Caenorhabditis elegans: one gene and its partners. The protein of the gene in region 2 interacts with the protein of the main gene of each other region in a pairwise test. Each region holds a gene or a part of one and is shown on either strand. Other genes may lie near its edges. The genes, in order: src-2, flh-2, taf-11.1 and odd-2.

Evidence for each region.
Region 1: the proteins of flh-2 (region 2) and src-2 interact in a two-hybrid assay, tested with the Caenorhabditis elegans proteins (one large-scale study listed by BioGRID).
Region 3: the proteins of flh-2 (region 2) and taf-11.1 interact in a two-hybrid assay, tested with the Caenorhabditis elegans proteins (one large-scale study listed by BioGRID).
Region 4: the proteins of flh-2 (region 2) and odd-2 interact in a two-hybrid assay, tested with the Caenorhabditis elegans proteins (one large-scale study listed by BioGRID).

Annotation. Positions count from the first base shown.
Region 1 is NC_003279.8:14,319,760-14,330,133, forward strand, and holds src-2 (Tyrosine protein-kinase src-2), read left to right. Parts: upstream 1-2,477; 5' UTR 2,478-2,527; coding exon 2,528-2,773; intron 2,774-2,821; coding exon 2,822-2,943; intron 2,944-3,803; coding exon 3,804-3,925; intron 3,926-4,710; coding exon 4,711-4,908; intron 4,909-5,543; coding exon 5,544-5,614; intron 5,615-7,269; coding exon 7,270-7,533; intron 7,534-7,592; coding exon 7,593-7,881; intron 7,882-8,864; coding exon 8,865-9,076; 3' UTR 9,077-9,206; downstream 9,207-10,374. Other genes in the region: F49B2.9 (uncharacterized protein), read left to right, coding at 4-138. UniProt on the Caenorhabditis elegans protein: Non-receptor tyrosine-protein kinase which may play a role in larval and pharynx development. Unlike src-1, does not play a role in embryonic development.
Region 2 is NC_003281.10:4,948,592-4,956,622, forward strand, and holds flh-2 (FLYWCH transcription factor 2), read left to right. Parts: upstream 1-3,532; 5' UTR 3,533-3,541; coding exon 3,542-3,775; intron 3,776-3,901; coding exon 3,902-4,363; intron 4,364-4,817; coding exon 4,818-5,093; intron 5,094-5,269; coding exon 5,270-5,497; intron 5,498-5,581; coding exon 5,582-5,683; intron 5,684-5,929; coding exon 5,930-6,040; 3' UTR 6,041-6,580; downstream 6,581-8,031. UniProt on the Caenorhabditis elegans protein: Probable transcription factor. May bind to the promoters of target genes, including micro-RNA genes, in order to repress expression, and acting redundantly with flh-1 and flh-3.
Region 3 is NC_003284.9:4,251,355-4,258,141, reverse strand, and holds taf-11.1 (Transcription initiation factor TFIID subunit 11), read right to left. Parts: upstream 2,973-6,787; 5' UTR 2,966-2,972; coding exon 2,844-2,965; intron 2,797-2,843; coding exon 2,496-2,796; intron 2,446-2,495; coding exon 2,359-2,445; intron 2,260-2,358; coding exon 2,147-2,259; intron 1,877-2,146; coding exon 1,733-1,876; intron 1,685-1,732; coding exon 1,414-1,684; 3' UTR 1,330-1,413; downstream 1-1,329. Other genes in the region: srv-6 (Serpentine receptor class gamma), read right to left, coding at 1-123, 169-258, 748-894, 944-1,081; srv-5 (Serpentine receptor class gamma), read right to left, coding at 4,057-4,153, 4,208-4,315, 4,464-4,624, 4,796-4,912, 4,962-5,117, 5,263-5,352, 5,405-5,551, 5,649-5,786.
Region 4 is NC_003284.9:6,156,919-6,163,318, reverse strand, and holds odd-2 (Protein odd-skipped-related 2), read left to right. Parts: upstream 1-2,791; 5' UTR 2,792-2,833; coding exon 2,834-3,144; intron 3,145-3,220; coding exon 3,221-3,674; 3' UTR 3,675-3,942; downstream 3,943-6,400. UniProt on the Caenorhabditis elegans protein: May function as transcription regulator. Required for morphogenesis and function of the digestive tract.

The DNA of each region.
Region 1 (10,374 bases), on a different chromosome or scaffold from region 2:
CAGATTTCCGATGAGATGCCCCAAAGGGTAGCCCCTCTGGAAATCCCGAAACCATCCTATACGGATGAACATCTCAAGTGGCTGATCCTTTGGAAAATTATTGATTCTTTGGAATATTATAAAAAAGATTTTGAATAAAGCACATTAGATTCCCGCCCGCAAATTGTCTGTCGCTACATGTAGCCCGCTTTTACAGAAAACTATAAAGTCGGCAAAGTGCGCTCTATCGACTAATTTTGAATAACTGAGTCGCACGTGGTGTCAGGCCGTCCCATGTCGGTTTGATCTACTTAGATCTACGAGAATGCTGTGTGACACCGAGTTGTTCGACCAAAATATTATTAACTAGCAAATATATCATCTTTTCTAGATTTGTAGAATCCTAGAATCCAAAGCACTCCTAAAACTAAAAATTTAGCAGTTACACATTTTCCTGAAGTTTTCTTTTCTGGAGCCGTTCTCAAATTACTGCAACTTTCCAGAATTTTCCAGAAATTCGCTCTTTTTTCTCAAAAAATTTGAAAAATTTTAATAAAAAGTTTACCGATCCAATGAAAGCTTAAATCCCTAGCCTGTTAATCAAATCTAATTTGATAATGACAGCTTCATCATCCTCTCTCTCTCCCTGTCCTCTCCGCGCGCAAAAAAAGATGTTTTCCCACCAGCGCGCGGGCGCCTCCGCTGCTGTCGAAATTGCCATTTTTGTAGGTCTGCGTCTCTTGGGATCAGTATGCTACCTGCAATTGGGAGTTTAAGGCACGCGCGTTCCGCAAATGTTTGCTAAACGGCGCGGCGGAGAGAGGGAGAGAGAGAGAGAGATGCCTGACCTCGGTGGACAAATAGTGAGAGGGATGAAGAGAGAATGAGACAAAAACAGTTCCCTCTTCTTTTTCACCCCAAAGACGGTGGGCTAGCCAGCAACCGGCTAAATGAATTTCTTTCCGGCTTTTGGGTTTTTTACCTAATATTTTGTATTTTCATAGTTCTTATTATACAATTTTCGCCAAAGATAGAAAATGTAGTTTTCCTTTTAGGTCCCCCAATTTTAGATTATACTACTACTTTGGAACATAGTTTTTAGGCCTTTTTTAAAAGATTTTTTAGCTTTGGCTGAAAAACTCCTGGAACTGGGAATTTTGGCCCAGAAAATTGTGACGTCAACACGTTCTTAACCGTGCGACAACAGTTGGCGCATTTTTTGTAGATCACACCGTTATGGGACACTCTGACACCTTGTCGGAATATTGTTAGCCTAAAAAACTTTGATCCCTAAATTTTGTTGCTCACTTTATTCGAGAGAAATTTCAGTTTAAATTCTAGGCACTGAAATTATAATAGTTCTCGATTAATACTATGAGTTCCTTTCCTGCTTTATTGTAACCTTTTAGCTTGAAATTTTACTTTAAAAACTGAATTTTCTACTCTAGAAGATTGATATATTGAAAAAGTTGTAACTCATATATTATAATTTAGTGCCAATTTTACGGTCAAATTTTTTGATTTTTATTAGCTGACAACTTTTCATATTTTTCAGGATAAAATAGATATAGTAGTAGTCCAGAAAGTTATTTTTATGGCTCCTAGAAATCCATACAACTCTTTATTGGGGCTAGATGTCAAAAAGTTGTCAACTAAAAAAATGTAGCAAATTTTATGCGTAATGTATTGTTAGTTGACAACTTTTTTATATTTATTAATCTGAAGGTGTTATAGTCGATTTAATACAGCTAGTTAGTCCTAGCTTGCCCCTGAAACCCCATAACGAAGAAATATAAGAAAATTTCGCATTAAGTATTTTATTGGTTCACAAGTTTTGTGTTATTTCTTTTTTGAAACTAGTCCAAAATTATTTTTACTTGACTGATCATCTTAAAAATTTTTGCAAGTTTTCTTGGGCCCTTTTTTTTAATCGCTTACAAAGAAATGCTCCAGGCTCCTTTAAATTGTGCAGCAGACATTTATCGCTGCATTTTTCCAAATTCCCACCTAAAGTTTCGCTAAAAATGAATTTTCTGGATTTATAAACCCTGTAGCTCCCCAGCGTGTCAAGTAGTCAGAAAGTTTTTAACTGATAAAACGAAGTAAGCTTTGAAATCTACAATTTTTTAGTTGACCACTTTTTGATATATATATATCAAAAAATAGATTGACATACCAAAAAATAGATTGGCATATCAAAAAATAAATTGGCATATCAAAAAACAAATTGGCATATCAAAAAACAAATTGGCATATATATATATATATATATTTAAACGATTCATGGCAGTTTAACGCCCACACCTATTTTGCCCTGGCTCCTGGAAACCCCTATAACTATAACTTTAATTGGTGCTAGTGTCTATCAAAATGTTGTCAACTCACAAGTTGTAGTAAATTTAATTTTTTTGATCTACAATTTGCTAATTGACAATTTTAAAACGCTATATTTTGTCCAGCGAACCCTAATGAACCAGAACTATCTAAATTTCTTCCAGAACCTCCCAAATCAAAAAACTGACGACACCAGGATCGTCCGTTCCTCCCCATGGGATCCTGTATTGGAAAAGAGGATCCACCGCCTGGTGCAACGTCACCAGTCCACACGTCATCCACGTTGGGAAGGGAGTCACTGCCAAGTCATCCACGAATTCCGTCCATCGGTCCGATTGCGGCGTCTTCCAGTGGAAATACGATTGATAAAAATCAGAATATCTCGCAATCTGCGAATTTTGTCGCTTTATTCCAATATGATGCACGGACAGATGATGATTTGAGTTTTAAGAAGGATGATGTTAGTTTTTTATTTTATTTTTTGAAACTCCATATCTCATTCTTTCAGATCCTTGAAATTCTAAATGATACCCAAGGAGACTGGTGGTTCGCCAGGCACAAGGCAACTGGACGGACTGGGTATATCCCGTCGAATTATGTTGCCAGGGAGAAAAGTATCGAGTCACAGCCGTAAGTTTTTTTTTTTTTGAATTTTTAGCCAGCCTAGGGAGAGAGGCCGGACTTGAACTTGTGACCTCCAGATTGCTGGTGGTTACCACTACCTACTGAGCTATCCAGCGCCTCTTTGTTAGTTGTCACAGGGGCTTGATCAGGTGTAACTAAAACTGTCATAACTCCTTTGGCTTGTGAGATACAAAAAAATTGTCAACTAGCACATTGTAGAGCAGAAAATTTCCTACATTTTGTTAGTTTAAACTTTTTTGATAGCTAGCACCAGTGAAGAGTTATAGCACTTTAGAGGTGTCAGCGGGGAATCAGAGCAGGCGTAGAAATGGTTCAACTCTTTAAGTGTATTTTTACCGGCAAAAGTTGTCAACTGACAAAATGTTAATTGTAAAATTTACTACATTTTCGTATTTTGAACCTTTTCAGTAACTTAATGTTTGTAGAGTTACATAGCTTTAACGAAATTTTGAAAAAAATAACATTTTTACGAAACTTAGAAAAATTCCAACTCACATTAAAACCTTAAAACTCGAATAATTTTGTAGTTCACTGGTAGTAGTACCTAAAATCAAGTACTTAATATTCCCTATATTTTGTTAGTTGGCGACTTTTTAATATTATAGCTAACACCATTAAAAAGTTATAGGGATTTCTAGAAGAAATCCGTGTAGGCCTTAAAACTATGATAACTTTTTAAAATTGATTGATATCAAAAAGTTGGCAACTAGCAAACTGTAGAACATAAAATTTGCTACAATTTAATAGTTGACAACTTTTTAATAGCTTGCTTTATTGCAGAGTTACAGGGATTCAAAAAATAAGATTTTAAAAATCCGAAAATCTAAATTTTTACAAATTTCCAGGTGGTACTTTGGAAAAATGCGGCGAATCGATGCGGAAAAATGTCTATTGCACACTTTAAATGAGCACGGAGCATTTTTAGTGAGAGATTCCGAAAGTCGACAGCATGATTTATCATTATCAGGTCAGTGAACTTTTAAGGGCGCCCCATAGGGCACATGGCGGGCGAAAACCGGTTTTCTGGGAGAGATAATCAAGGTCGGATACAACAAAATGAGAAAGGCGCGGTGACAGTAAGAGGCAGAAAAGAGGTTATCCCCGCTCGCCCCGACCTTTTATGATTCCGAAAGTAATGGGAATTTGGGAGAAAGGAGGCAAATTGGGAGATTTTGATGGGTTTAGATGGGTAATTTGGGATGGGGGAATTTAGATGGAAACTGTCAAAAATAGATGGAATATACATAGATGTTTATTTAATTTTTAAAACTTTTTTTAAAAAATTCGAAAAATCATTTTCGATTTTTTTAAAAAAATTTTATTGAATTTTTTGCCAATAATTTTCTAATTTTTTAATAAATGTTTTTTGAAAAACTGATAGATTTCATTTTTTCTGAAAGTATTACAAAAAGTTTTTATCTTTATTTTCAATTTTACAATTCTGAAAAATTATAAAAAAATATGTATTTCGTGCTTTGTAGTTTGTAGTTTGTAGTTTGTAGTGTGTAGTTTGTAGTTTGTAGTTTGTAGTTTGTAGAAAACCTTTCAAAGCTCTTTTGAGAGTTACCAAAAAACGTTTTTTTGGGAATTTTGAATTTTTCAAATTTATAATATTTCAGTATTTTTTTTTCCTTTGTAACATTCCAAAAACTGTCAAAAAAAAAACAAACTCATCAAATTCCAAGTTTTCTTAAATTTGAAGATTGTAGTTTGTAGTCCAAAATCCCCCTATTAATCCCAATTTTCTTGCAGTCCGAGAGAACGACAGCGTAAAGCACTACCGTATCCGTCAACTGGACCACGGCGGGTATTTTATCGCCCGGAGGCGCCCGTTTGCCACGTTACACGACCTGATTGCACATTACCAACGAGAAGCCGATGGTCTTTGTGTGAATCTGGGAGCTCCTTGTGCCAAGTCAGAAGCCCCACAGACAACGACATTCACATATGGTAAGCTGGAAGTTTTTATGCCTGACAGGTGCCTACATCTGCCTAGATGCCTACTAGATACCTCGGTGCCTACTACATGCCTAGATACCTTTTTCATGCCTAGATACCTACGACATGCCTAGATACCTACTACGTGCCTAGATACCTACTACATACCTAGGTAACTGCTTGATGTCTAGATGCCTACTACATGTTTAGATACCAACTATATACCTAGGTAACTTATTGATGTCTAGATGCCTACCAAATGCCTTGATGCCTACTACGTGCCTATTAACCTACTACATTCCCAGATACCTACTGCATGTCTAGATACCTACTACGTGTCTAGATGCCTACCTGATACCTAGGTGCTTACTTAATGCCTAGATTCTTACCAAATGCCTAGATACCTACTACGTGCCTAGATACCTACTACTTGCCTAGATACCTACTACATACCTTGATACCTACTACATGCTTAGATACCTACTACAAACCTAGGTAAATCCAGTAGGCAAAAGGCGAACCTAATTCAGGCCAAAGTTGACTTAAAGGTAGGCAGGCATTATTGTGCCTACCTACTAGGCCAAACAATTCCAGGGACCCACAAGGCGCCCAGTTACCTTTAAAAATGTTCAAAATTCCCATTCCAGATGACCAATGGGAAGTGGACCGCCGTTCGGTTCGTCTCATTCGACAAATTGGAGCCGGGCAGTTTGGAGAGGTAAGCATCATCATTCTCTTTCGGTTGTTTGCTTATTCACGTTGCCTGCCTGCCCGCCAGCCCCACAGCCCGCCAAATAGTGTGCACAGGCTCATCCTCCTCCTCCTCCTCCTGTTGCCTATTCCGTTCGTGTTTGATGTATATTTGTGTGTGTGTGTGTGTGTGTGTGTGTGTGTGTATAGAGAATTGATGGAGAACGAGATAAACAGGAGAAGATATGCTAATTGAGTGGGGGTAAGGAGATGATCTTAGGGGAAAATTGCAGGGGGGGGGGGGGGGGGGTGGGTCCCCGATGCACCATGTGTAGCCCCAAATTACAATTGTTAGGGTAGAGCCTGAAAAATTTTAGGTTTTTTTGTAAAAAAAACCCCAAAAAATCGCATGAGCAAGAATTTTTCTTGATATTTCTAGGCGCACGGGGTTCTGGCCTTCCTTATTGATTTTTTCGCGCTCCATTGACCTGGACAACGCGTGGGAAAATCGTGCACTCCACACGGACAACTACAACAAGTTTTAAAACTAAAATCGAGCCGCGACGCGACACGCAACGCGCCGTAATTCTACCCCAGATATGGCCGATCCAAAATGGCCTTGTTCGGCAAACTCTTCCATCTCAATTTATGAGGGGAGCCAGAAATCCGTGTAGGCGCTACTTTACACTCAAAATAAAAAAAAACTGCGTGGCGTGTACTGCAGAAAACCTAATATTTAGGCCCCGCCTTTCTCTCGTCCACTTACGGAGAAACGGCAAAAATTTTGACCCCAACCAATATCAGGCCGCCAACATCTCACGGGTTCCGCGCGTCGCTGCGTTTAACTCGCAGCGGGCGGAGACAGCTCGTCACGCCCACAGCAAGTTAAACGCAGCGGCGCGCGAAACCCGTGAGATGTCGGCGGCCTGATATTGGTTAGGGTCAATATTTTTGCCTTTTCTCCGTGAGCGGACGAGAAAAAGGCGGGGCCTAAATATTAGTTTTTTATTTTGAGTGTAACTCCCAGAAACCTCTCAGCCTATGGACTAAAAAACTTCAGGCTTTTATTTTTCCGTGTTTTTCTTAATCCAGGGGCTTTTAGTGTAGATCCTAAAACAACCGGATAAAACGGTTTCCCCTTTTTCTATTGACTTTTCCATCTCCTGATCCGAGCAGCTACAGCCGCCAATATTGAAACAGATAGGACCGGTTTGAAACATGATATCACTCCCCTACAAACATCAGTTCCGCTAGGAGATCTCATAAAACGAAGGGATCTGGAACATAGAGATTTACCACTAGGGTTATAAGGAAATGTCGATGCACCATGAGTAAAAACTCAACCTCGAATATAGATAGCAAGGCCCTAAAATGAATGACAAATGTTCTCATTAGAGCGCACTTAAATTTGCAAGCATGAACGAAAATATGAGTTTTGTAAGAAATTTAATCTATGAAGCTTCAAAACCATGCGAAAAATGGCTAAACATACGAAAATTCTTACTACAGCTTACTAAAGTGTGTGTTTGAACTTTGAACTTTTTACCTAACCCCGCCCCCCCCCCCCTTATGCTTGCATGTTTAAGTGCGCTCTAGTGAGAACATTTGTCATTTTTTAATTAGAGCGCACTTGCAAATCAGCTTGCAGATCCTGGATGTACTACATAAACCATCAATTTCCAGGTATGGGAAGGCCGATGGAATGTGAACGTCCCCGTCGCTGTGAAAAAGCTAAAGGCCGGAACCGCAGATCCTACGGATTTCCTAGCCGAGGCACAGATTATGAAGAAGCTCCGGCATCCGAAGCTTCTGTCCCTGTATGCAGTCTGCACACGTGATGAGCCGATTCTTATAGTCACCGAGCTAATGCAGGAGAATCTGCTCACATTCTTACAGCGACGAGGTCGGCAGTGTCAGATGCCTCAGCTGGTGGAGATCTCGGCGCAGGTGAGGTTCACGTTCGGATTCCTCGAAATTAAAAAAAAATTTCAAAAAAAGTTTTGCAGGTTGCCGCTGGAATGGCCTACCTAGAGGAGATGAATTTCATCCATCGAGACCTAGCAGCACGAAACATCCTTATCAACAACTCCCTATCTGTAAAAATCGCAGATTTCGGGTTAGCCAGGATATTGATGAAGGAGAACGAGTACGAAGCAAGAACCGGAGCACGGTTTCCGATAAAATGGACGGCGCCCGAGGCGGCGAACTATAATCGATTCACAACCAAGTCGGATGTCTGGAGTTTTGGAATCCTGCTCACCGAGATTGTCACGTTCGGACGGTTACCCTATCCAGGTGAGGATTTGAACCGACCCGTTTGATCTACACGAATTGCGGAAATTTAGGCGCAGACTTTTCAACTGATTTCGCATGGTTAAGAGTGTGCTGACGTCACCATTTTCTGGGAGAAAAATTCCCGCATTTTTTGTAGATCAAGCCGCAATGAGACAGCCTGACACAACGTAAGATGGTCTCATTGCCGCATGACCTCCAGAAGTGGCGGGAATTTGAATTAAAAATTTTGACGTCATATGAGCTTTTTTGAAAACTAACATCCCGCCTTTTATTGAGGTCAAATTATTTTTTTTACAAAATGGTACCAGTTCGCTAATTATAAAAATTAAGTCCCTTATTGAAGGGGCCTTGAAAATTTCGCAAAACTTTGGGAATAGGTCGCGTCAACTAAAATGTGGAATATTCCTGCGCCCTTCGCCGTTTGATCTCCGGGAATCGCGGAAAATTCAAATTTTGAAAAATGCGATGTAGCCTAAGTTTTACTGTAGAACGTGGTGTCAGAGTGTCCCATTTCGGTTTGATCTACGTAGATCTACAAAAAATGCGCGGAGTTGAGACGCAGAGTTCTAAAGTGATTTTTAGAACGAAAAACTCCCGCATTTTTTGTTGATCAAACCGTGTAGTACCCCAGAAACACGCCACACATTTCAAAAAAGAAATTTCCCGCCATTTCCGGAGGTCACACGAGCACATGGTGTCAGGCTGTCCCATTGCGGTTTGATCTACAAAAAAATGCGGTAATTTTTCCCTTAAAAGAATGTGACTTCAGCACGTTTATCAGTTGAAAAGTCTGCGTCTAAATGCCCGCAATTCTAGTAGATCTACGTAGATCAAACCGAAATGGGGCAGCCTGACACCACGTCTAGGTTACTAAACTGGTCCTTTACGAACCATTTGGGAATATGAAATGGCAAATTTAAAGCGAAAATCCCCCCGCAATTTATGTAGATCACACTACAATGACACCTCTTTACCATTTCCAGGTATGACAAACGCCGAAGTCCTACAACAAGTCGACGCCGGGTACCGTATGCCGTGCCCAGCCGGGTGCCCAGTCACCCTTTACGACATAATGCAACAGTGCTGGAGAAGCGACCCGGACAAACGGCCAACCTTTGAGACCCTCCAATGGAAGTTGGAGGATCTGTTCAATCTGGACTCTTCCGAGTATAAGGAGGCCAGCATAAATTTCTGAGAGAGAGAGAGAAACTTTTGGGTGCCTATATACAGCAGCTACGGGTTTTTTTTGTGATTTTTTCTGTCTGTGTGTGTTCTTTTTTGCTCAATACTGTTTTTTTTTTAATAAATTATTGATTTTTCTTATGATCCAGGCTTAAGATCCAGGTAAGAGTAACCTGATCACATTTCAAACATTTCTTTATGATCGGCAAATATTAAGAGGGATATCGAGGAGAGGAGGGGGGTCTAGGTAAAAAGTTCAAATTCACACACACACACACAAACAGTGGAAGTGGCTTTAGTTCAAAAGCTTGAAGAATTTTATTATTTTTTAGCAATTTTTCGCATTTTTTGGTGCTTTCTTGAGTCCAATTTTCAATTTTTCGGCTTTTTAACTTTTCTAACAAAAACTCGATATTTTATACTTTATTGCAAATGCGCTCCAACGAAAAAGTGATCAATGAGCGTTAGGATTTTCCATTCCAAAAATTGTGATTATCAAGCGCACGTGGTGCCAGGTTGTCCCATTACGGTTTGATCTACAAAAAATGCGGGAATTTTTTGCCCGATGAAATGTGACGTCAGCATGTTCTGAACCATGCGAAATCAGTCCCGCACACTCCCGCATTTTTTGAAGATCAACGTAGATCAATCCGAAATGAGACTCTCTTACACCACGTGTAAGCGCATTACATTGAGAAAATTTGAGGACCACATTTCCAAAGCGAGATATTCAAATTTTCCAATTATTAAAAGTACGCTCCATTGAGAAATTGTAGGAAACTTTTATTTTTGTCATTAGAGCGTGTTTAGATGTTGTTGTCGGATTAAGGTATAAGTTGCAAATGAGCTCTAATGAGAAAATCTTGAAAACTGAATGTTTTCACATTAGAGCGCATTTGCATATAGAGATCAGATAAAAGTTAGAATTTTCCAGCCGTTGCAAGTGCGCTCTATTGAGAACATTTTGAAAATTGAATGTTTTCAAATTAGAGCGCATTTGCATATCGAGATCAGATAAAAGTTAGAATTTTCCAGCCGTTGCAAGTGCGCTCTATTGAGAACATTTTGAAAATTGAATGTTTTCACATTAGAGCGCATTTGCATATGAAGGTCAGATAAAAATTTGAATATTCGAGTAGTTGCAAGTGCGCTTTAATGAGAAAATCTTAAAATCTGCATGTTTTCACATTAGAGAGCATTTGCATATCGAGGTTAGATAAAAAGTTTGAATTTTCCAGTTGTTGCAAGTCCGCTCTATTGAGAAAATCTTGAAAATTGAATGTTTTCACATTAGAGCGCATTTGCATATCG
Region 2 (8,031 bases):
AAAATTGGAATCTCATAGCGAGCCGAGTACTTCACTAACTGTAAGGTGTTTTTATTGTTTATTCTGTGGTATTATGTGATTTTTCCTTCACCGTCTCTTTCACTATTTCTATCTATGTATCATCACCATTCCCTCTCTCCGTTCTCCTCTTTCTCCTTCTTTCCGCGTGGCCTTCCGCGTCGCCCGCGCTGTGCGCATACACCCCTCCTTTCTCTGTCATCTCTCTTTTCTAAACACTATCTAGATTACTGCTGCCCCCCGTTCGGTGCCGCCTCCGCCCGCACTGCCGCCATACTCCCGAGAAGACGCGGTCTGACCCTTTATTCCCGCGTCCCCCCGTCCCTTTTCGCTACAATCGATACGTGGTGGGACCCTCTTCGTTTTTCAGTTTTTTTCATTATTTCTGTAGGATTGAACGTTATGAACACTTTTTTTAGCAACATAATATTACGGATGACCTATTTCTCAATTTTTGCACAACCTGCACAGTTTCAAAAAAAGGTTAAGTTAGCTCAAAAGCTGATTTCTTTTTTTTATAGCTGTAGGACCTAGAACGTGTGCCACACCCAAAAGCTCAGTTTCAGCAGTTTGTTTTCAAATTGGTGGTCTAAATAGATTTATAATAATCCATTGTCACCGAGCACCATAATAAAATACTCCAAATACTTTTTTAAAAAGATTTTTCAAAATTTCCAAAAAAATTAGGAATTTTTGTTTCACAACTTTTAAAAACAAATTTTAAAAAAATCGTATTGTTTTTTTAAATACTTTACATTTAATTTTGGAGGTTAATTTCCAACGGATCTAGATCAAAGTTGGGAGAGCAAGCTGGAATAGTATAATACTCGTAGAATAATTTTTTGAGTCTTTAAAACCTCCAATTGTCTTTCCCTCTTTTCGCTTAAAATGGCTGCCTATATACCTATAGGGTAGGCCTATTGGTTTCCTATGCCTGCTAGTAATACTTGAATCATTTTCCATTTACCTGTTAAACTTGCAAGAATTTTGAAATTCGTAGATCCAGATAAGTGCAAACATGGAGTTGACGCCAGAAAGCAGAAAGTAGGCGGTAGGCAGGCAGGTCAGCAGACAGGCATGAAGAGTACTAAAGCCTACTATAACTTACTAAACAAGCCGTAACCCGTAGGTTGAAATTTTTGACAATTTGATAAAAACTATATACCCTCTATGAGATGAGGTAAAAGGTGTACTGTAATTAGAGGATCGAGAAGTAAATTTAATGTTTCGAAATGCACAATTTAGTGAGTTTAGGTATTTTGACCATTTCCACAAAACTCTGAAATTTTGATAGCTCACAAAAATGATGTCTTTTAGCTTTAATCCGTTGGTGCCTAAAGATTAAAATTAAAATGATGTAACCAAGATAGGAATATTATTTTCAAGCTGAAATTTCTATCTGAGCCCTGTAAAACTGCTCCAAGAGATCTTTTTTGCAGACTTCTGTGATTTTAATAGACGAAGAGAAGTAGGCGAAAATTCCGAAAGCTTTAAGGAAATACATTTTTGAATCTGAAATTTTTTTGACTTCACTTGCGCGAGCAATAGATTCAAAAAACTTAGAACTTTAAAAAAAAAAATGAAAGTCTTCAAAAAATCTATCTTTTTTGGAGCCTGATGTTACATTGTCTTACTTTTCTTGTAAACTTGAAAAATCTAGATCTATAACCACTAAATTCAGTGAATATTTTCATTTTTCCCATCCATCACCTTTGTTTTTTGCCGTACTAGGTGGTGATGGTGACACGGGAATATGGAGAAAAAAGAGGCGTAGAAGAAGAAGAAGAAGCGGTGACGATAATAGGTACGTTGGTCTAAAGAAAAAGAGAGAAAGAGCTTGTTTGGGTGGTCTTCTTTTCTTTTTTTTCTGCTTCTACTCTCGCTCCCCCGTCCTTCTCTCACTCCACCACGAGCGCCTCTATTTTGACTGGCGCCGCGTCGGTCATCTGACTGCTTCTCTCTTTTTTTCATTCTTTTTCTCTTTTTCTCTCTATCCATCTTTTTTCGGCGCGCGCTTCTCCTGGCGCTTCTCGTGGGCTCTGGGAGTCAGGTCCCTTCTGCTTTTTGGCTCCGCTTCAACGGAGTCATTGAGCTCACGAAAAGGGCATTCCAAGTTGGTATTTTTTGGTTTAATATTTATATTTTCTAAAAATTTAATTATATTGTTATTCATATAGTTTTTTGTAAGCTTAAAAAATGATTGTTTTCGTTAGTATCTAACCACATTGTAATAATTGAATATTTAATTGTTTTTTCCGGTCAGGACTTTACATATTATTCATGTTAAGCTAACTTTACAGATAATCATAAGTTTATGAAATTAACAAGAAAAACCGCAAGTCTTGTACAATACTTTCGCAAGTTTAAGGGTCTGCAGACCGGCCTGGGCTTATGATTGCTCTTAGGATTAGGCTCAGGCTCAGGCTCAGGCTCAGGCTCAGGCTCAGGCTCAGGCTCATGATGAGGCCTAGGCTTAGGCTTAGTTCGTTTTTTTTCAGATTGTCTTGATTTCTTAAAATTCGCGTCATTAGACGAAATTCCCGCTAGGTATAGGCCGCCTCCGACTGCGTTTTTACTTTTTTGACCAATCTACCATCTAATTCTAGGGTTCTTTCATTATCTCTGTCACTTTTTCATTAAATTTGTATCTTTCAAAAGTGATGAATAACTGAGTTAAACCAACACAGCATGGCGCCAATAAATCGTCCGTCGCCGCGTCCTCCTCCCTCTCTCCTCCGCCGCGGCCGCTTCCCGACGCCATTCCGCATATATTTAGTGGATTCTACTGATGTGGAGCCAATGGAAACCGGGAGAGGGGAGAGGCTCCAAACCGGCGGACGGACCCCTGCTGCGACCAGCTGGCGCCTGGCGCGACCATTTTGTTCCCCCTCACTGCATCGTTTACTACTAGTGCAGTCTCTGTCAAAAGAGCACACTCTCTTCCATTTTTTATGTTTACAACAACTCGAAGAGGGCAATCTTAAACTATTCATTGGAATTTTGGAAAACATCGGAACATTATCTAAATATTTTTAAGAAGTCTACGAATTTTGAACTTTTTGAAAAAAAGCAATCTAGCAAAATATTTTCAACTAAATAACTTTTTATCATATGTTGAGGAGGTTTAGAAAGATTGAAAGCACTACAATTAGAGGTGAATTGGAATGTCCTTGTTTGCTCTCTGATTAAAAAAAATACAAGTTCTAGTAAAATAGTTTTGTAGATCCCAATCCAAACCAGAGAAAACTCATGATCTCACAATTTTGGAATAACCCTATCATATTTTTTCAATTCTCCGATGGTACCACTTCCTTTTCTTCTATTGCACCTAAATATTAATATTCCCTTTACTTTTGTTTTTTGTTCACCTTAATCGCAATTGTCACTTAATTCCTCTATTAGTACGCTTCTTGCATCTCTTGGATTTGTTATTCAAATGTTCTAAAACAATTGAGACATACCGTGTAGATAGTTTTGAATTCATCGTATTTTCCATTAATTTTCCTCTTTTCAGACCGCCTGTATGGTGGACACCATGATGAACACAAATACAGATGGTGTCACAGCGGTTCCTCCGATCTTTCCACTACCGTCGACGACACCAAACAGAAATAATAATAATGAACTGGCGATGTTGGCACAGAAGCAAATAGTCGCCGGATTACTGTTACAACAACCAACGATTGTGCAGGCAGCGGTGAATGGAACCAATTCGCAAAAACATTTGGCAGATATTGACTATACGAATGTTATTCAGGTGAGAGATGGGCTCTTTGTGGTTTTGACTCCTTGATTAATATATTGAGTTATAGATGTGAAATTGATTCTCTTGAAAGACTTTTTAGATATTCATGTTCGAGTAAGTCTATCTGTTATTTTTCAGACTCTTCAAGCCCTTGGCACTACAAATCTAAAAGCATTCTCTCTACTTCTTGATCCACAATCCCAAACATCTCAGTTAATATCTGAAGATACACGTCCATCTGCCAGCTCATCACCGTCTTCAACTGCAACTGCAGTATCTAACAGTGGACAATCAAACGCAACATCCACGTCATCATCGTCCACAGAACCCGAATATAAACCGAGAAATGTGCGAGAAAAAGTGTATGCAGATGGATATATCATGTCATTTGATAAGAAATCGTGTTGTGGAACTAAAGAATTTTGGAGATGTGAACGAAAGAATGATTGTAATGCAAGAATGCATTCAGATATCAATACACGAGAAATTGTGAGAAAGTTACATCCACATAATCATGAGAAACCGTCGCCCGAAGAACTTGCATTTTATGAGCAAGATTTCTCTACTCTCCATCCAAATTATTGTCATCCAGTGAAAAGTGTGAGTTTTTTTGAGCTAAAAGATTTATGGTGAATATTCAAAACTTGAAATATTCAAAATAGTTAGAAATAAAAAGTCGAGAAAGAACGAAAATGTATGTACGCCGAAACGTTATATGTATTTCGATTTTTACTAATCGCCCTGCTTGAACTTCCTCTAAAATGATAAATGTTAGACCAATCAGCGATTCGCTCCGCTCATTTTCCAACCAATCAGACGGAGTGGGCGGAGTTTAAAGACGCAGTGGGCGTGGATTTTCATCGCGGGGGGTTACAGGGAAACCAGCCAAAATAAAAAAGTTTTTTTTTAGTTTTCGGTAGATCCTGTAGGCAGGCAGGTAGGCACAACACTTATTGTTAATAAAACATTCGGATTATGTGTAACTGCTAATTTCATGTTTTTTGATTTAAGAATTCCAAAATTTCCCAATCTTTTTTAAATTGAAATCTTTTAGATCAACCGATCCTACATGCAACGAAAACTGAGCCGTGCCTCACATGTATCACAAGCTCTACCAATTGCTCCACAACAAATTAAAGCTGAACCAATGGAAGTTGACACGACAAATCAAACAATTCAAAACTTTCAACAAAACAATAATTTAATGCTTCTCGCCTCAATCAATGCAGCAGCAACTGCGGCTGCAGCTGCAACTTCTGCTGGAATAAGTCCGCCGGTTGTTGGACAGAAAAGAGTATCAACGACTGTGATGCCTATCACTTTGAAATCGGTTTGTTTTTCTTGAATAATTATGCTTTGTTCAAACATCATAAGGTTGGAACTTTTCAAAACTATAGGTTTGAGCCAGAAAAACGGAAATGAACTAAAAAAAATGATACGAATTTCTAAAATTCAGGGCCAAATTCGAAAATTTCGAACAACTTTGGAATTTCTTAATATTTTCAGCAACGCACAACTCCTAAAGAAGAAGAAGATTCATCTCAATTGATGTCACAAGAAGAATTCCGTATCACTTACGAATTGACCAAAAAGCTCATGGAAATGATGAAGCCAAAAACTGAAATTGGAGTTCGATGGCAAGGAGATGAAGGGTCAATTCTTTTGTTCTTATCACATGATAATGGAGCAGAAGAGAATGTCTTCTTTCCGGTGGTTGTCATGAATCGTGATGAGGTAAGTAATATAATTTCTGGAAGCCCGAAAGACTGAAAGCAGAAAACAATCAACAATTATTTCCTAAAAATTTATAATTTTCAGAAATCCCTAATCACTGCGTTAGAAGGATTCACTGGCAAACGTTGCGAAGGAAAACTTGCTCTGTGTTACTCACAGAGGGTTAATGTGCTTGTACATGAAGCGGTAAGCGAATCAATTTTCTAAGACTAGACATGAGCCCTGGTAGAGTTTTGCTACGTGGCGGTGAATATGAGAAAACTCTTCCACTTTTCGAAATTTAGCATTGATTATTTGTATTTGTTGTAGGGGAAGCTCGAAGACCTGTGGGAAAGCTCGAAGATTTTTTCGAAAGTTTGGCAGTTTGTCAAATTTATCCTACAAAAAATCTAAATCAAGTCATTTTTTTCTAAGCATTTCTGAACCTTTCAGCTAATCAGCAATTGGACACACGGAAAACTATTTCTCGTCAACACTGATGCACCGGCTCTCTGGCGTCTAACGCCCGTCGACGCTTTCGGCGAGCCTTTAAACCATGTCTAAGTGATCATTATTCAATTAATCGATAGTTTGGAGTCATGAAATTATAACTTGACCGACTGCAACGTTTCGCTGCACGCTACATTTTATTAGTTGTCATGAACCTATAATATCGAGCTCCCGGAGCAATCATATAATTACAAATTGTAAATTTTTTTTTAAATTTATTCCAGCCATTTTCCCCTCTCAATACCTCTCCCTTATCTTGTCTCTATAATCTTGTCTGTTTCTCAACAAAAAAGCTCGTCGTCAGGTCCCCCATTTCCGGATCTCATTGTGAACTTTTCAGAAAAGTTCGCAAATTTTCATATTCCTTGTCAATTCCAATCTCTATGTCTCCCTTTTATTGTGCTCTTTCCCCCTTATAAAATTACGGAAACCACCCTCTCCAACTCAGGAAAAAACCCCCTTTATATGCTCCTTTTCTTTTGATAAAATGATATCGTTCAACTAACAATTATCCCCTGATCACTTACATCAATAAATTGTTTCTATGAAATAAAAATATATATAAAGTGGACAATTGAACATGAATAAGTAAAAAATGTTGCTATAATGTCACCATTGTGTTCTAGCATTAGTATGTCTAAGTCCATGAAAAATTGAGTACCTAATCGTAGCAAAGAGATGAGAAATAACCAATTTTGTCATCAAGTTCCGAATTCATCAAAAAATATCACAAAAGAGCTCCAACATGCTCCAACAAATACTCATCAAATTTCGTGACATTTTTGTCGAGTTAGAATCTTCAAGAGCCGAATTAATAGATGTTGCTCCTCTAGTAAAAGTGAGTGTTTGTGTTTTATATGACAAAATTAGTGTTTTTTTAATTTTGAAAACTATTCTTACAGCTTGTCGATAAACTCGGAACACGGATGTTCAATTGTTAACTTTTCAGACTGGCGGTCCGCATAATTATGGGCCACCCTGTAGTAAGGGTCGGTCTAGACTCCAATTATACATTATCAAAAATATGTAGAAAGAACATGACGCTCATACAATTGTGGCTGTTACATTGACGATTACATCAAAAACGTTGCTAGGAAACAAATTGAAACGTTTTTTATCTTAAACAATAGAAAACATGTTAGCTAAATATCTGATCGAGACATAATTATTGCTTTAAGTGTGCGAAAATCAAGTTTTACTTGTCAAGATTGTTTTGACCATCTTGCAATTGTTCTTTAGAGATATGAGAGAAATAGTGCAGTTGTAAATTCGATCATTGCAACTGCAACAATCATTATCAAAATTGAATAGTGTTGATATCAAAATACATTGAAGATCCTTGAAAATTGAAGATTACACAGATGTAAGTCATTGATAAAAACTGCTTGGTTTGAAACAATGATTCAAGACTGATGATAGAAATTATTCCGAGAATTTCAGAAAAAGGTATGGCCGGAGAGTACCTTGACAGTAAGTTCGTGACTCAACTAATCGCTCAAAGCTCTATTTCAATTCCTTGGACCATTGCTTGAACCTTCTGAAAATAATATTTGTGGAGGTCAAACCGTACTGAATCATCGTATTCAATCGAGTTGTCAGCATAAGATCTGATACTTGTCTTAGTTTGAGAAGAATGAAAGAATTCATACAAACTTGCACACTCTCGCACGCGCAAAGCTTTTCAATTAACTTCAAACCTACGAAGTACGCACAAAAATGTTATCCTGTAAGCCTTCACGGTGACCTACGGCTGCTGGGAAGGCAGTCATGAGACAGGCACGTACGTCTGAATAGTTGATTTGACATGGAAGCTTATGTCGGTTTCTGTTTTCGTCAGAATGATCAGTTTCGATTTTAACACTTTGCTTTTACACTTTTTTCTCTTTCATTTCCAGCTTCTAATTCGAAAAAATATTTTATTATCGTTTGGGTGAACGTGTTTTCGCTATTTTTCTTGTTGGGTCTCGCCACGATCTCTATCATTTTAGCTTCTAAATAAACTTCAGAAAATCGTACATTTAATGTGGGAATTAAGATTTATCGGG
Region 3 (6,787 bases), on a different chromosome or scaffold from region 2:
TGCAGTTGGAGTAATGAGAAGGTAAAAGTCAAAATTGGGCCACGCATGTGTTGGCAGAAGTCCAAGAATTGGAATAGACCACTGAACAATGGCTATCCGCTGCAATGTTTTTGTACCCCATACCTGAAAGACATAATAAATATTGAAAATTTTGGAATTTCAACAAACCGAAATGTTATCCTTGTCGTATGAAGACACCATCAAAGCGGTGAAAAGTCGATTAACAGCAAAAAACAAATAACCTATGTAGACAACAAGCTGGAAAATGTGCATTTGTTGATTACTTTTATTAGCAAAGTAGCTACGTTAGTTGCTTTTTACATAACTCCGAAATTCAAAAAATTGAACAGAAAAAGTTAAAATTTAGCTATAACCTCCACTTTTACTAGCCTATACTAGATAGCTGAAAGATAATTTTTAATAAATTTATAATTCATTTTGCACATTTTAATCGTTAATTCTACGGGTTGTGTTGGTGTTTGTATAATAGTTTGTTGACTTTCAGGTGCACAAAGCATGACGAATTTTGGTACTTATGAGCTTTAACATACATTTTCTCAAAAAAGCCGGAGTCTCTACGTACAAAAACGTGGAGAACTAGTAAGCTCAATTACCGCATTATTCATAGTTTACTCTTTTTTTGAACTATGTTTTAACGACTTTTAACGACTTCTCAAGGTCTGATTATGAAACTCGGCGGATTTATTTAATTTTTGAAAACGTTTTCCAGATCACTAAAAAATATACCTTAATGTAGTAATGTATGCCAGAAATAATTCGCGGAATAATACCAATAAATACTGTATCTGGCTCAAACAGCATGTAAAAATCTGTATACTTTCGGAACCGCATTGTGATCGAAAATTCGATAAAGAAAACTAATTCAGCGTAAAACTGTAAAGAGTATTTAATAAAAAAGATTTCTAGGAGAAAGTTATTATACCTGCAGCTCAACAAGCTTGAAGAAAGTTCCTCCGAGAAGAGATGTTTTTCTATGTTTTCTAAGTGTTCTCACAATCATTGAATATAAAAGAGCTGAAATCAGGCCTAATATGAAAAGCAACGTTTGCTCCAAAGGCATCGCGAGTCAGACTGGTCAGAGCACATTGAGAGTTGGCGAGTGTCCGTGTCAAACTAAACTGCGCCGACATCTACAATTATGTAACGGCAAATTGTTGATCACTGCTTTCAGAAAAAATAAGTTGGTTAGATATATTTCTAGTTAGTTCTATGTTGATATTTGTGCACGTGACATTTTTTGAAATGTCAGAGAAACAAATTTCCGGTCAAAATGTAACTTAAAGTTTTCTGTTTCCACATAGGCAGTCAGTGATTACTTTTTTTCATTAGAATCTGATTATATGTAAAACAAAGCAATAAAAATGAAACGGAAAACCAAAGAAAAATAATTATTCACTCAAGATGGGATTGTTTCGGACCAATTGGTGGGAATAGCTTTCCTTGCTCTCCGAGCCGGAGGAACGCTTGACGAATATGATGCGGCTGTAGTGGATTGCTAGCTTCTTCCTCATTTATGTCACGAATATCCAATGCTTCTTCGACAACTTCACCGACGAACACCTTAGCCAATCCTGCGATAGCGATGACCACACTCTGTCCAACGTTCACTCCTCCAGTGTACTGACTGATCAAACGGCGAATAGTCGACTTTTGGAATGAAGAGCTGAAGTTCATCATTTATTATTTTTTTGTGTTTTATTACCAATATTACCGTCTGTATGACTCATATCTTTCCAGTTGCTCTTGTGAAAAGTTGGAAAGCAAAACTTGTGTCTTCAATCGCGAAAGCTCATTTTCTTCTTCATCGTCAAGTTTCCGCGCTGGACGAGCTGGTGCTGGACGTGAGGGGCCAGGCCTGAAAAATGAATAAATTAGATAATCGAATGTGCCAGCGTGTTAAAGGAGTTATATTAATTCTGGATTCTACTCATTTATATTTATATACTGCTGCGACACGCAAACGTTGCAAAATTGGAAATGTTGGCTAAAATTAGTGTTTTCTCAAGATTGTGAACGGTCAAAAAAATTTGAGGAAGTTTTTGAGAAGTCTCCATACGAAATTTGTCCGTTTGGGTGCTTTTTGTTCTTATATAAACGCATCGATACTTCTTCTATAAAATCTTACGCTTCTTCTTCCGGCTGATGTTGTTGAATCAATGCTTGGTACCTTGCATCGTTTACTTTGCTCAAGTCGAAGCTTTCCAGCGAAATGTTTGTGTCCAGAAGGTCGTCGTCTCCCTGTAATTGAAAAGTGTTTCATCGGCGATTAATATTGGGTAACCAATATATTCAGTCCATTTCTTTTTGAATTAGTTAAGTATCACAGATTTTACGTACCGAAATCTGCCCGCTGGGCCCAGCTTCAGAGTTATCATCATGACGTGGCTGCTTTCTTGGTGGCTCGCTTTTTGAAATTTTATCAATCTACAATTATATTATAATTATACATCGTCGGGAAACAAGAAATGACTCACTTTTCGCTTCTCAGCAGTCTTGGCGGTTTCCGCAGCTCTGTTCGCCTCCGCAACTCTATCAGCTTCAGCTTCTCGAGCAGCTTGCTCTTCTGCAGCAGCGGCCGCGGCAGCAGCGGCATTCCGTTTCATCATCATCTGGTCGATGTCCGGCATATCCATAGAATCCTCTCCGTCGGAAAGTGAAAAGACGACTGGTGCTCTCGGTGTGATCGGAGTTGGTACGGACTCCTGTCCCGGCGAAATTTGGTTTTCGTCAGAGCGCATTCCATCTCTTGAAAAATCCTCATCTCCATCGTCATCGCTGAAAAAATAATATGATATAATTTTAATAATATAAGCAAAGATTACCTGAGCTCCAAATCTGCAAGCACATTGTGAGCGCCTGTTGGTTGTGGCATCACAGTGTCGTCGTCTTCGTCACTGCTCCCACTGCTCTCACTAAGGCCACCAAACAAATCGTTGGCATTCATTTTTATTCTATAAAACAGACAATAAAAAATGGAAAAAAAAAACCGTCGTTATTCGTGAGAAAAATGCAAAACTGTATTAAACCGGGCAAAGAGTGTGTGTTTGAATGTGTGTGCAGTCGAGAGGACGCGGCAATGGAGAATTCTAGGCCAGCGTTGTGTGGAGAGCGCGTCTCAGTGTGTTGGTTGGGAAGACAGAGGTCAGTTTATCGATTGACGAAGGGCACTCGAGACACTGACGATTTGTCTAATTGAGAAACACAATGGTTGGGAGGAATAAGAGGATTAACATTTGGAGATTTTTTGTTTTACCAAACAAATTTCATACTCATTAAATTTTTTTTTAATTGATGAAACTTGAGAATTCGAAAATCCAAAAATATCAACAAAAAAAAATCTGAAAAAGCAGAAATTAGACATTAAGTTCACTGAAAATGTGAGTTCTTGAAACACGTGTACCATGAAAACATTTGAGAATATTTCAAATAGTCTAATCATTCAAATATAGCAGTACTATTTTAAATAAAATTTTGTGAACTTTTGGACCAAAAACTAACTATTTGTTTGTAAATTAGCACACTGATACTTGAAATTAGAATTCCAAATACGGTTTTTGGAGATGCGTGGTGATCTTGCCACATCCGCTGCAATGACAATACATTGCATTCCCATTTGCATTAATTTACTGTGTTTCCCATACATCATTGGGTCTTGATCATGCAACTGCTATATTCATTCACAAAAGCCAAACTGGGTTCACTCTGATAAGTTTACTACAAAACAAGGTAGTAAAAACCGGTGAGTTCAAAACTCTAATGATTTTGCTCAAAATTAGACTTTATTATGAGAAAGTCGCTGTAAAAAAATTTTCACAATGTGAATTTAAATTTCCCATTGTAATTGTTCATGAAATTCTTTGGACCTTCCGTTGTTCCTTAGTAAAAAACATTTTGTTTCCTGAAAAATTCAGCTAAACCCATAATTCAGTTGTAAATTAAATGAGTACACATTCAAATTTTTTATAACAACATTCCAAACAATAGTTAACAGTGACAATGCTGTTTCAAAAGTGCCTAAAACTACACGTAAACCAATTAAGCCAGCGTCCTATTTGTTGTTTTCTGTGTGGCGGGAGATACAGTATGCCCAACCCGTATTGTGTTCACCGATGCATCGTCAAGCTTGAAAGCCCTGAAATTTAAAACATTTTTTGAAAGATGCTACCCTTCACCAGATAAATATTACGTTCGTAGGAAAATTTTTGTATCGTAAATCATTTGCTTCCTCAGAACTCCCGACGTGACTAATAACGCCCATGGAAAATGGGAATACATAAGATCAATCATAGGATATCTGAAAATTATTAAAGTTTCACCAGCTGTTTGGGCACAGCAAAACACTCTTATATATTTAATGTGTTTGTTCTAGAAGGTCGAATGAGATTAATTTTTTTCCAGTTCCTGGTTTGTGATGACAATTTTCTGGAAAAACTATGACTTACGAGAGGTCTTGAACAAAAAGTAATGTTGTCGCACCACCCCAGGATATTAAAATGGTAACAACTTGTACAGCAGTGTTCAATATTAACACGATAAATGATAAAATGGCGGAAACAAGTAGACTTCTTTCTGCAGCAGATTGTGCATTGTTTTTTCGGAATACCTTAAAGTACAGATATTTTTCTAAATGTTTTTAAGGCTGAGATTTTGATTTATGTTAGGACGACAATAGCTGGAAGCACCACCTGGGGAGGCTGTTCCTGACTTTCTGATCCAAAGTGGTAACGGATCGTTCTTTAAAGTTTTACCAAAATAAACTTTGAACTCAACAAACCGTGTCAGTTTTCACACGTTTCCAATTTTTCCGTATCAAGAAACACGTTGCAGTATAGCAAATCATGCAGAAAACACACGTTCCAAGACAACAAATTCCGTCAACGTATGCAACAAGCTGAAATTATAAAGTAATTATTATCTCAAATTCTCAGTAAGCATTATACCGCTGTGGATAAGGAATCATTTGTTAATCGTATAGATGAAGAAGTTATCATAAACCAATAAGTAAAACCCGGCCAAGCATGAGTTGGTAGAATTCCTATTAAAGGCAGTGCCCATTTCACTATTCTGACTCGCTGTAAAAGCTTTGGAGTCCAAATCTGAAAAAAACATTTATTTGTAATGAGTAATTTTGAATTGGTTGAAAAACATGCAAAACCACGTTGAAACTGATAATGACACACGAAGGAAACTCATTGACAGATCAAGAAGACTAGGGCTAAGTATTGAAAGTTAATGTCATACTGAAATATTCACACTGTTATATGATGATATATTGAGTGCGGAAGTGAGTCGATTCAGAGCAAACGTTAGATACCCAATGTATACCACAATCTGAAATAAAATAGAAAAAATAGAAAAATGTAATTTTTGAATTCAACCTTACCTTAATATAATAATGAAATCCAGACACAATACGCGGAATGATACCGTGAAATTCCGTGTCTGGCTCGAAAAATGCATAAAGCGAGCTATATTTTCTGAAGCGCATGGTGATTGAAAATTCGACGAAGAAAAATAGTTCCGCATAATACTGAAAATTAATCTTTTGATATTTCTCCATAATATAATTTTCTTTCTGGTGAAATTTCTGATCAAGTGTGATGTTTACTTATATTTCAAAGATCTACCTGCATTTCCACAATTCTAAAAAAGGAACCGCCAAGTAGAGCATTTGATCGATGACGTTTTAAAGTGAAAACGATCATAGTGTAAATTAAAATTGAAATTAAACTGGAAATGAATAAAAACCATTGCAAAGCCGGCATAATCTGAAATAATATTGAATAGAAAAGTAGTGTTAAGTTTTATGGTGCAGTGAAGTTTCTGGTAATGTTAATACAAATTAAAAAACTATGAAAACTATAACACGAAACTAAATAAGTATGAAAATAGTTAATAAGTGGAAACTGTATAGTTGTTATGTGATTTTTTTTCTTAGAAGGTGATACATTAGTGTGAATTCCCAAGTGACTTGTTATCCCCATATTTTTCATTGCTTTTATTGTTTCCACTTCTATTGGAACACTTGTGAAAAATAATACTTTAAAGAAATATTAGAGAACGGAGTCTGAACACCTGCTCGGACCTATAACTTATAACTATACCGCAACCGTCGTACTGTTTACATTCAATAAACAAAAAAACTTTCCAAAGAAATATGCGGTGGTTTTAAAAAAGGAAAATTTTGCGTGTGCACCTTTAAGTTTCCAGTGATTTCCTCAAGAAGTTATTCTAGTGTTTCTCACCATTTACTTTTCTTGATGAAAAGTATTCTTAGAAAAAAAAAGTAAAACAGGAGAAAATCCTAGTTTCATGCAGGATTTTTCTGAAAGCTTATAGACGCGCACCCAAAATTTTTCTTGTTACTCATTTTGCGTTGGCAGATTCCAGATTTCATGTGAACAAAGAATAATACACAGCTTTTTGAGTGATATTTTGAAAATCTGATGATTTCAAATGATATGAGCAAACAAGATTCGTTTTCCTACATTTACACATACAATTGCTTTACTATTTACAGTATTAACAGTTGCTCTGTATGAACTCTCTTTTTTTAGAAGAATTGTTAAAGTACAATTATGTATTAAAAACTAAACTTTACAAACTTAATATTACTCGAAAATATTATGCTCAGAAATATCAGTTAAACTGAAAAAGTAAGATAAAACAATGTAAACAACAAACTTTATAATTTATTGTTGTGTCGAGTTATGCAGAATACCACGAGGTGGTCATAAAATTGGCTTGCTCGAAAAAGTGCAGGCAA
Region 4 (6,400 bases), on a different chromosome or scaffold from region 2:
CCGATATGTCCTTTTTGTTTCAAAACCGAGACATTGGCGTCAAAAACTTCATGATAACTGCATCTTGTCAGCATTATCGCTCCTCCCTAACTTGCAGTAAGCGGATTAATTGTACCCCTAAAACTACCTACTAAATAGAAGCCTACGCTTTTTGTTATCATTACCCTTTTTTCTTCTTCACACAGAAAGAACCTTGTTCTGCACGATTCGCACACCTTTTCCGGAAATCATCATTGACTCACACCTTATTTCATTTTGTGATTGACTTTGGCATCACTACGGTGGATAATCTTCAGGTAAATAGAATTTTGATTCATTTTTTCCAAGTCTTTTTTATCATTAAACTATCATCCCATCTACTCACCTCTAGTGTTTTCAAAGATAATAGTCAATTATCATTAGTCGGCATGTTGCACCAAAAGGGAACGTTTATGTAGTGAGAGTCATAAAAGGAACACGTACCACCCCAACATGATAGGTTTCATAAAAAGTTGTCGTCGTCTTTGAAACCAAATTCAAACGGAGAATAGCCAAGAAAAATGGTTTGCTCAAAAAAAAGTGGGCGGTTTTTCTGCCGCGCGGTACTCCATATTCCAAGTCATTCTCTTTTATGTCAAATTTTAATGTGTATTTTCAAAATTTCTGTTCACTATAATAGGACAGTTTACTTCCATAACTCATCATTAACGAGTAGCTAGAAAGGTGTATAACTGTCGTGCAAATGTTATCTAAATAGTGCAAGATGTCCTAAGTTGTCATCAGTCAAGTTATAAAATGTCACTTATGTTTTTGGTGTACTACAGTTACCTAATCAAAAATTTTGAATTTCTCTATAGATTCGGTTCCCGTGTGTCTAGAAAAACTTTATCCAGACCTAAAGGCGCTTTTTATGTTTCTTATCGCTCCAGACAGTTTCACGGTTTTTTAAAAGTATAGTTAGGTCTAAAACTTCTTTGAAAAGGGTGTCATGAAATCTTCAAAGATCTACTTCTACTTCTAAAGTAGGCGGTGCACGGCAGCACAGGGCCTACCGTAGTCAGTCAACCAGCGCCCGCCGAGAGAGCAGCAGCAAAGACAGTGGGCGTGTCGGAGGAGAAGACGAGCTGAACACGAGGTGGTGGCCGCCTCCGTCTGCTTCTGGGAAGCCACTCAGTTCCTCCATTCTACCAAGTATAGGCGATATTGTATGTTCTGAAAACTTGGTTCTGCAAATTTTTCAACTATTTGTGTGAGTTGTTGAAGATCTCTAACAAAAACTGTCTTAACTCAACAGTTTTATCGTTACACAGTAGCTAGCTAGCTAAGTTAGACAGTGCTCATTCGAGCACATTCTGTGAAAACTAAATTGAAAAGTACCACTTTTGGAAATTCCATATTGGAGAATCTGTTAAAAAAATCATTTTCAAGCTGAAAAATTAAGATCAAACTTTTATACAGTTTGTAGTGCCCAAATTTTCGACAAAAGTGCATATAAAATTTTGTATTAGTATTAGTCTGAACCGCTAATATGATTCAATGACAAATTTCCCGCCGTTTTACCCACATTTTTCAATTGTGTTTTGCAACCGTACGGAAGAGGGTTCTACTGTTTTTTATGTGGCCAGCATGCATCATAATTTGTATCATTTCTTGTTTTTAAACTATTATACATGAAGCAAAAAATTTTTGAGATGTTTAAAAGCGGGAAAATAGGTGGCTCGCGATACGATTTTATCATAACAATAGGTTGAGAATGATATTCTGCTCCCTGTCCGCTTTCGTTTTTCCCCATTGATACCAAAGTTTCTTTTTTGGCACCATTCTTCTTTCCACATCGCCGAAATAGAGTGAGAAAAACGGGGAGAGTCAAAGTCACAGTATCATCATATTGTCAATAGAAGAGGCCCATATTTAACTGTGATTTTTTTCTTTTTTTCTGCTAACTTTCTTCCTTCTGAAAATGTCTAATGTTTGCATATCACCGCGAGTCTTCACCCGAAAAGGCTTTCCCTTTTTCTCATTTTTCCCCTACTTTTTTCTACTTTTTCTACACTTTTCGACTCTTTTCTGCTGGTTTTCTCTATGAGTCAATATGGAAAATGTGGTTCTCATTTTCTTCAATTTCATAACTTGCAAATGAGATAGATAGCTTCTAGTCACATACACCTCTACTGTTTGGTAAACACTCCCCTAACACCTCCGTGCACGTCGGCTACCTTTGATGTAGGACCGAAGCACGGAAGCCAACCGTTTTTATAGCCGCCGTGTACTTGATAATATCATGCGCCCGAGCATCAACAAGCCATCAAAACCTTTCTACTTACCGACCAGCACAAAGAATTTCTTTCAATTTCGCCCCTCTTCCATTTCCAATCATTCGTTATCGCCGTTTCCAAAATTCAGAAGTGTTAGCGAGTCTATAAAAATTCATAGATGACGCGTGGTGTAAAATGTGAGTCGCCCTCCTCCCAAAAAAGCGGCACCATAGAGTCAAAGTATCCCACTGAGTTGTAAGTGATCCTCCTTCTTTCTTGACAGTCATCCCTACCACCACCGCAACATTGTGCTCCGCCTGTTCAGTCCTCTCCTCCTTTTAGATTTGTTTGTAGTAGATTACCCCATAAGACGATAATACTCGTTAACAAAGTGACAACTTCTCTTGAAAAGGAGCAAACAATAACTATCGCTCCTTCTTCTGAATTCTGCTCTCTTACATTGCCCAACGGTATCATCATTTTTCCCTCTTTTCAAATCGTATTTGCTCGTTCCGCTATTTTTGCGACCTCAAATCAATTTGAAATAATTGTTTTCTTTTCAGCTGGAATCAACACTAGCCCTTCCCGCACACACAAAAATGCTTCCGTGGCAACGACAAGTTCCAACATCAATTTTTCCTCAATCAAATGAACAAGTTTTTCGAATGATGCTTGCACAACAACACCTCCAACTCCAAAATTTTCTGCAGCAGAGGAAAATGGCGCTGCTTGCTATGAATCCAGAAATTCCAATGATCACCGATCTCAAGAAAGCAAAATTTGACTTCACTCACATGGCTGATTCAATTGAATCTGAACAGAAGATCAAAGAAGAAAGTGTGTCTCCAAAAATGTCCCCGACGCTCACTACTGCAGCCGTTCGACCATTTGTTCCTTACGATCAACCATGGTAAGCTCTTGTATCATAATGTACGATATGATGATAAGAAATTTTATACTGTATCATCTCAACTATTTAGTTTTAGGTTCATGATCCCTGGACGTGGAAGGACTACTGGCCGAGCAGCCCGACCAAAGAAGGAATTCATCTGCAAATATTGTGATCGTCACTTCACCAAGTCTTACAACCTCCTGATCCATGAAAGGACACATACTGATGAGCGACCATACTCGTGTGATGTTTGTGGAAAAGCATTCCGTCGTCAGGATCATCTTAGAGACCACAAGTATATCCACCAAAAGGACAGGCCATTCAAATGCGAAATCTGTGGGAAAGGATTCTGCCAATCAAGAACTCTCCTCGTCCACCGTGCAACACATGATCCAAACCGACACAGTATTGGAGCTCCAGTTGTACCAATCAAAAGTGAAACACCACTCCCTGAACTGGATCCACGAGTAACATTAATTCTTCAAAATCTCACTGATAGCTTTAATTCGACGTCTATGACATCCCCACAAATCTCACCTGATCGCTAAATTCTGCTGAGAATTAGTATTTGGCATCTAGGCTTTCTTATGAAAACGGTCAATTTTGTCATTCCTGCTTAAACATTTTCATGTTGTCCAGTATTACTTGAGGATCATCTGTTTTTTCCAATATATGCTACTCTTTTTTTTCATATGTCTATATTTTTTTCGATTTACCTTCTCTCTTCATACTTGATAGGGTCAAAGTTTTAGATTTGTGATTGTGTCAGATACAATATTGTACCAAAAATAAAACATTTTCTGAATGACGTTGCAATACGGTGTATAGAGTTTACAAGAGGGCAGCAAGGGATCATATGTGCAATATCCACGGTCGGCACCGTTTATTGCAGATGGGTGTCTGTTTTCAAACCGGAAATGATTTGAAGAGGATAGAAGGCAGCATGAGCTCCACAGCAAAGGGCTCACAATGTGCAAATTTTTGAGCTAGCTCATTGAAGTTTCAGCATTGACTATTAATTCATGAAACTGTGCACACAGATTTCATTCCAAATCTCTGAAAACCCTAATTATCTCACATATTTCCTAAATTGGTTTGAAAACCAAACTTGAAAATATTTTAACTAAGTTTTTTTGTTGGGCATTAAAGATTTAGCATAGTAAATTTTCAGACAATTAAATATATTTGAATAGTTTCATGTTGTAGTAATGTTTCGCAACATTAGTATGTCTTTGGTTTGTCGTGTGAGAAATGCTTTTATTTGTATTTTTTAGAAGATAAATTTGTTTTGCCATGCTTAGAAATAAACAAGTTCTGATTTTTTTAAATTCAGTTTTTTTTGTCTTATTCAGAAGTTTTCATTGCGATCAGACTACCACTTGGTTTGAGGGTCATTTTCGAATTTTTCGCCGGAAATCTAGTATTGATATGTGATTGAAAAGACTAAAGCATTTCTGTAACTACTATTCTACTCTGATCTTCAAAACAAAGAGCAACAGGGAGAAGAAAGTTGAAAAATCGACTAGCAATCTGCTATGGGCTTTTTGAGATTTTCAGAAATGTTTTCAAAAATCCCATTTTTTGAAAATCATGAAAATGTTTTTTAAAGTTAAATTGCATTAAAAAATGTTTTTGTGGTGTATGTTTTGTTTTTCATAATACGGAATGGACTAGAAACAAAAAATCGCTCAATTTTCACATTTACTGAATTTTAAGCTCAATTCTGACACTATTGATTAATTATTTATTCCTAATTCTAATTACGTTAAATCACACGGTTTTATACATTTTAGTGTTTTTTTAGAAAAGTTTCATATTTTCGAGTCATATTAGAGACAAACTGGCACAAATATGTTTTAAACTTGTGTGTTGTTAAGAAACTTACAACCGACGAAAACATTATTTTTTTCAATTATCTAATCATTTGTTGATATGTTCAAAAAAAAACAGGTTTATGAAAACCGTATTAAAAAATTAGTCATTTTTTGAATGAATTTTCTTGTTCAAAGTGCTCATCGGCAGCTATGAAAGGTATATTTTAAAGATTCCTATACAAAATATGTTTCTGTAATAGCAAGAATTTGAAGAGAAAATTGACTGTATTCAGAATGATTTTCAGACTGTTTCTACTGACATTTGGTAGTTCTGAGAGTTGTTGAAAAATATGGTCTATTAAAAAAATGATGTGATGATTTAAAATAATTTCGTAAACCGAACAGCAAAATGTTATTTATCATTGGAATACTTGAAAGCTTGAACACAAAATTCTACGTGATTCTCTATAAACTTCAATGCCATATTCTAAACTGAAAGAATAGTTACTTTTCAACATTTTGATTGTAAAATAATCGTTTCATATTTCATTGATCACGTGAGATACCAATTTTAAACTGAATCCTCTCATTGATAAAATCATTCATATGTTGCCAATCGATTACAGTTCAGAGTAATTTTGTTACGGTAGTGATAAACGAGCAACGCTGGCTAAACCCGCTTATGTCGACCAATTCAGCCGTACACACGGGTTTCTGATTCTGTGTCGGTTATCATAACCTACCAACTCCTTATTAATCACTACTTAGTCTGTACACTGAATGGGACCGTTATGCAATGGGGGTGCCAGGTCATTCTGATATCATAGAAGGCTAGTGGGAAACTGATTTGATGACATACTATGGTCGTTGTTTTTTAGGGGAATATTTTGGAAACCAAGCATAAACTGAAACAAAAAAAATGTGTTTGTGTTTAATTAATTATTTCAAAAATGTTATTGATAAAAATGTACGTTTTAATGTTACAGCCTTTTAAAAACATAAACTTACAATTGGAAATTTGATTTCAAATGAGAGACTAGTTTTCTAGTTCTCACTGTTTGAAATGTTCTGGAAAATTAAGTTTACTTAAGTTTACTTATACTTTCTGATTTATTATTGGAAGAATTTTTCACTTTAATCCTAACAAGAAAAATACTCAAATTGAACATATTTTTTCATAATTGGAGGAGTATCAATTGTGGGGTTGCTGATTATAGAGACTTAGAATGTGACAACATAAAAACGAATTTTGTAGTGAGCTTTTTCAAAACTTCTTTAATATAATTCAAAATTTCAGAAAACTACCTAATGAAATCTTCTTCAGAAATACATAAATGACAACAAATTGTGATGTATTTTGTGAAATGAAAAACTCAGTTGAAATAAAGGTTTTCAGTTTTGTCGTTTTTTTATAAGTAATCAGCAATATTGCAACGGTTAATAGTAAAATATTTCCCATC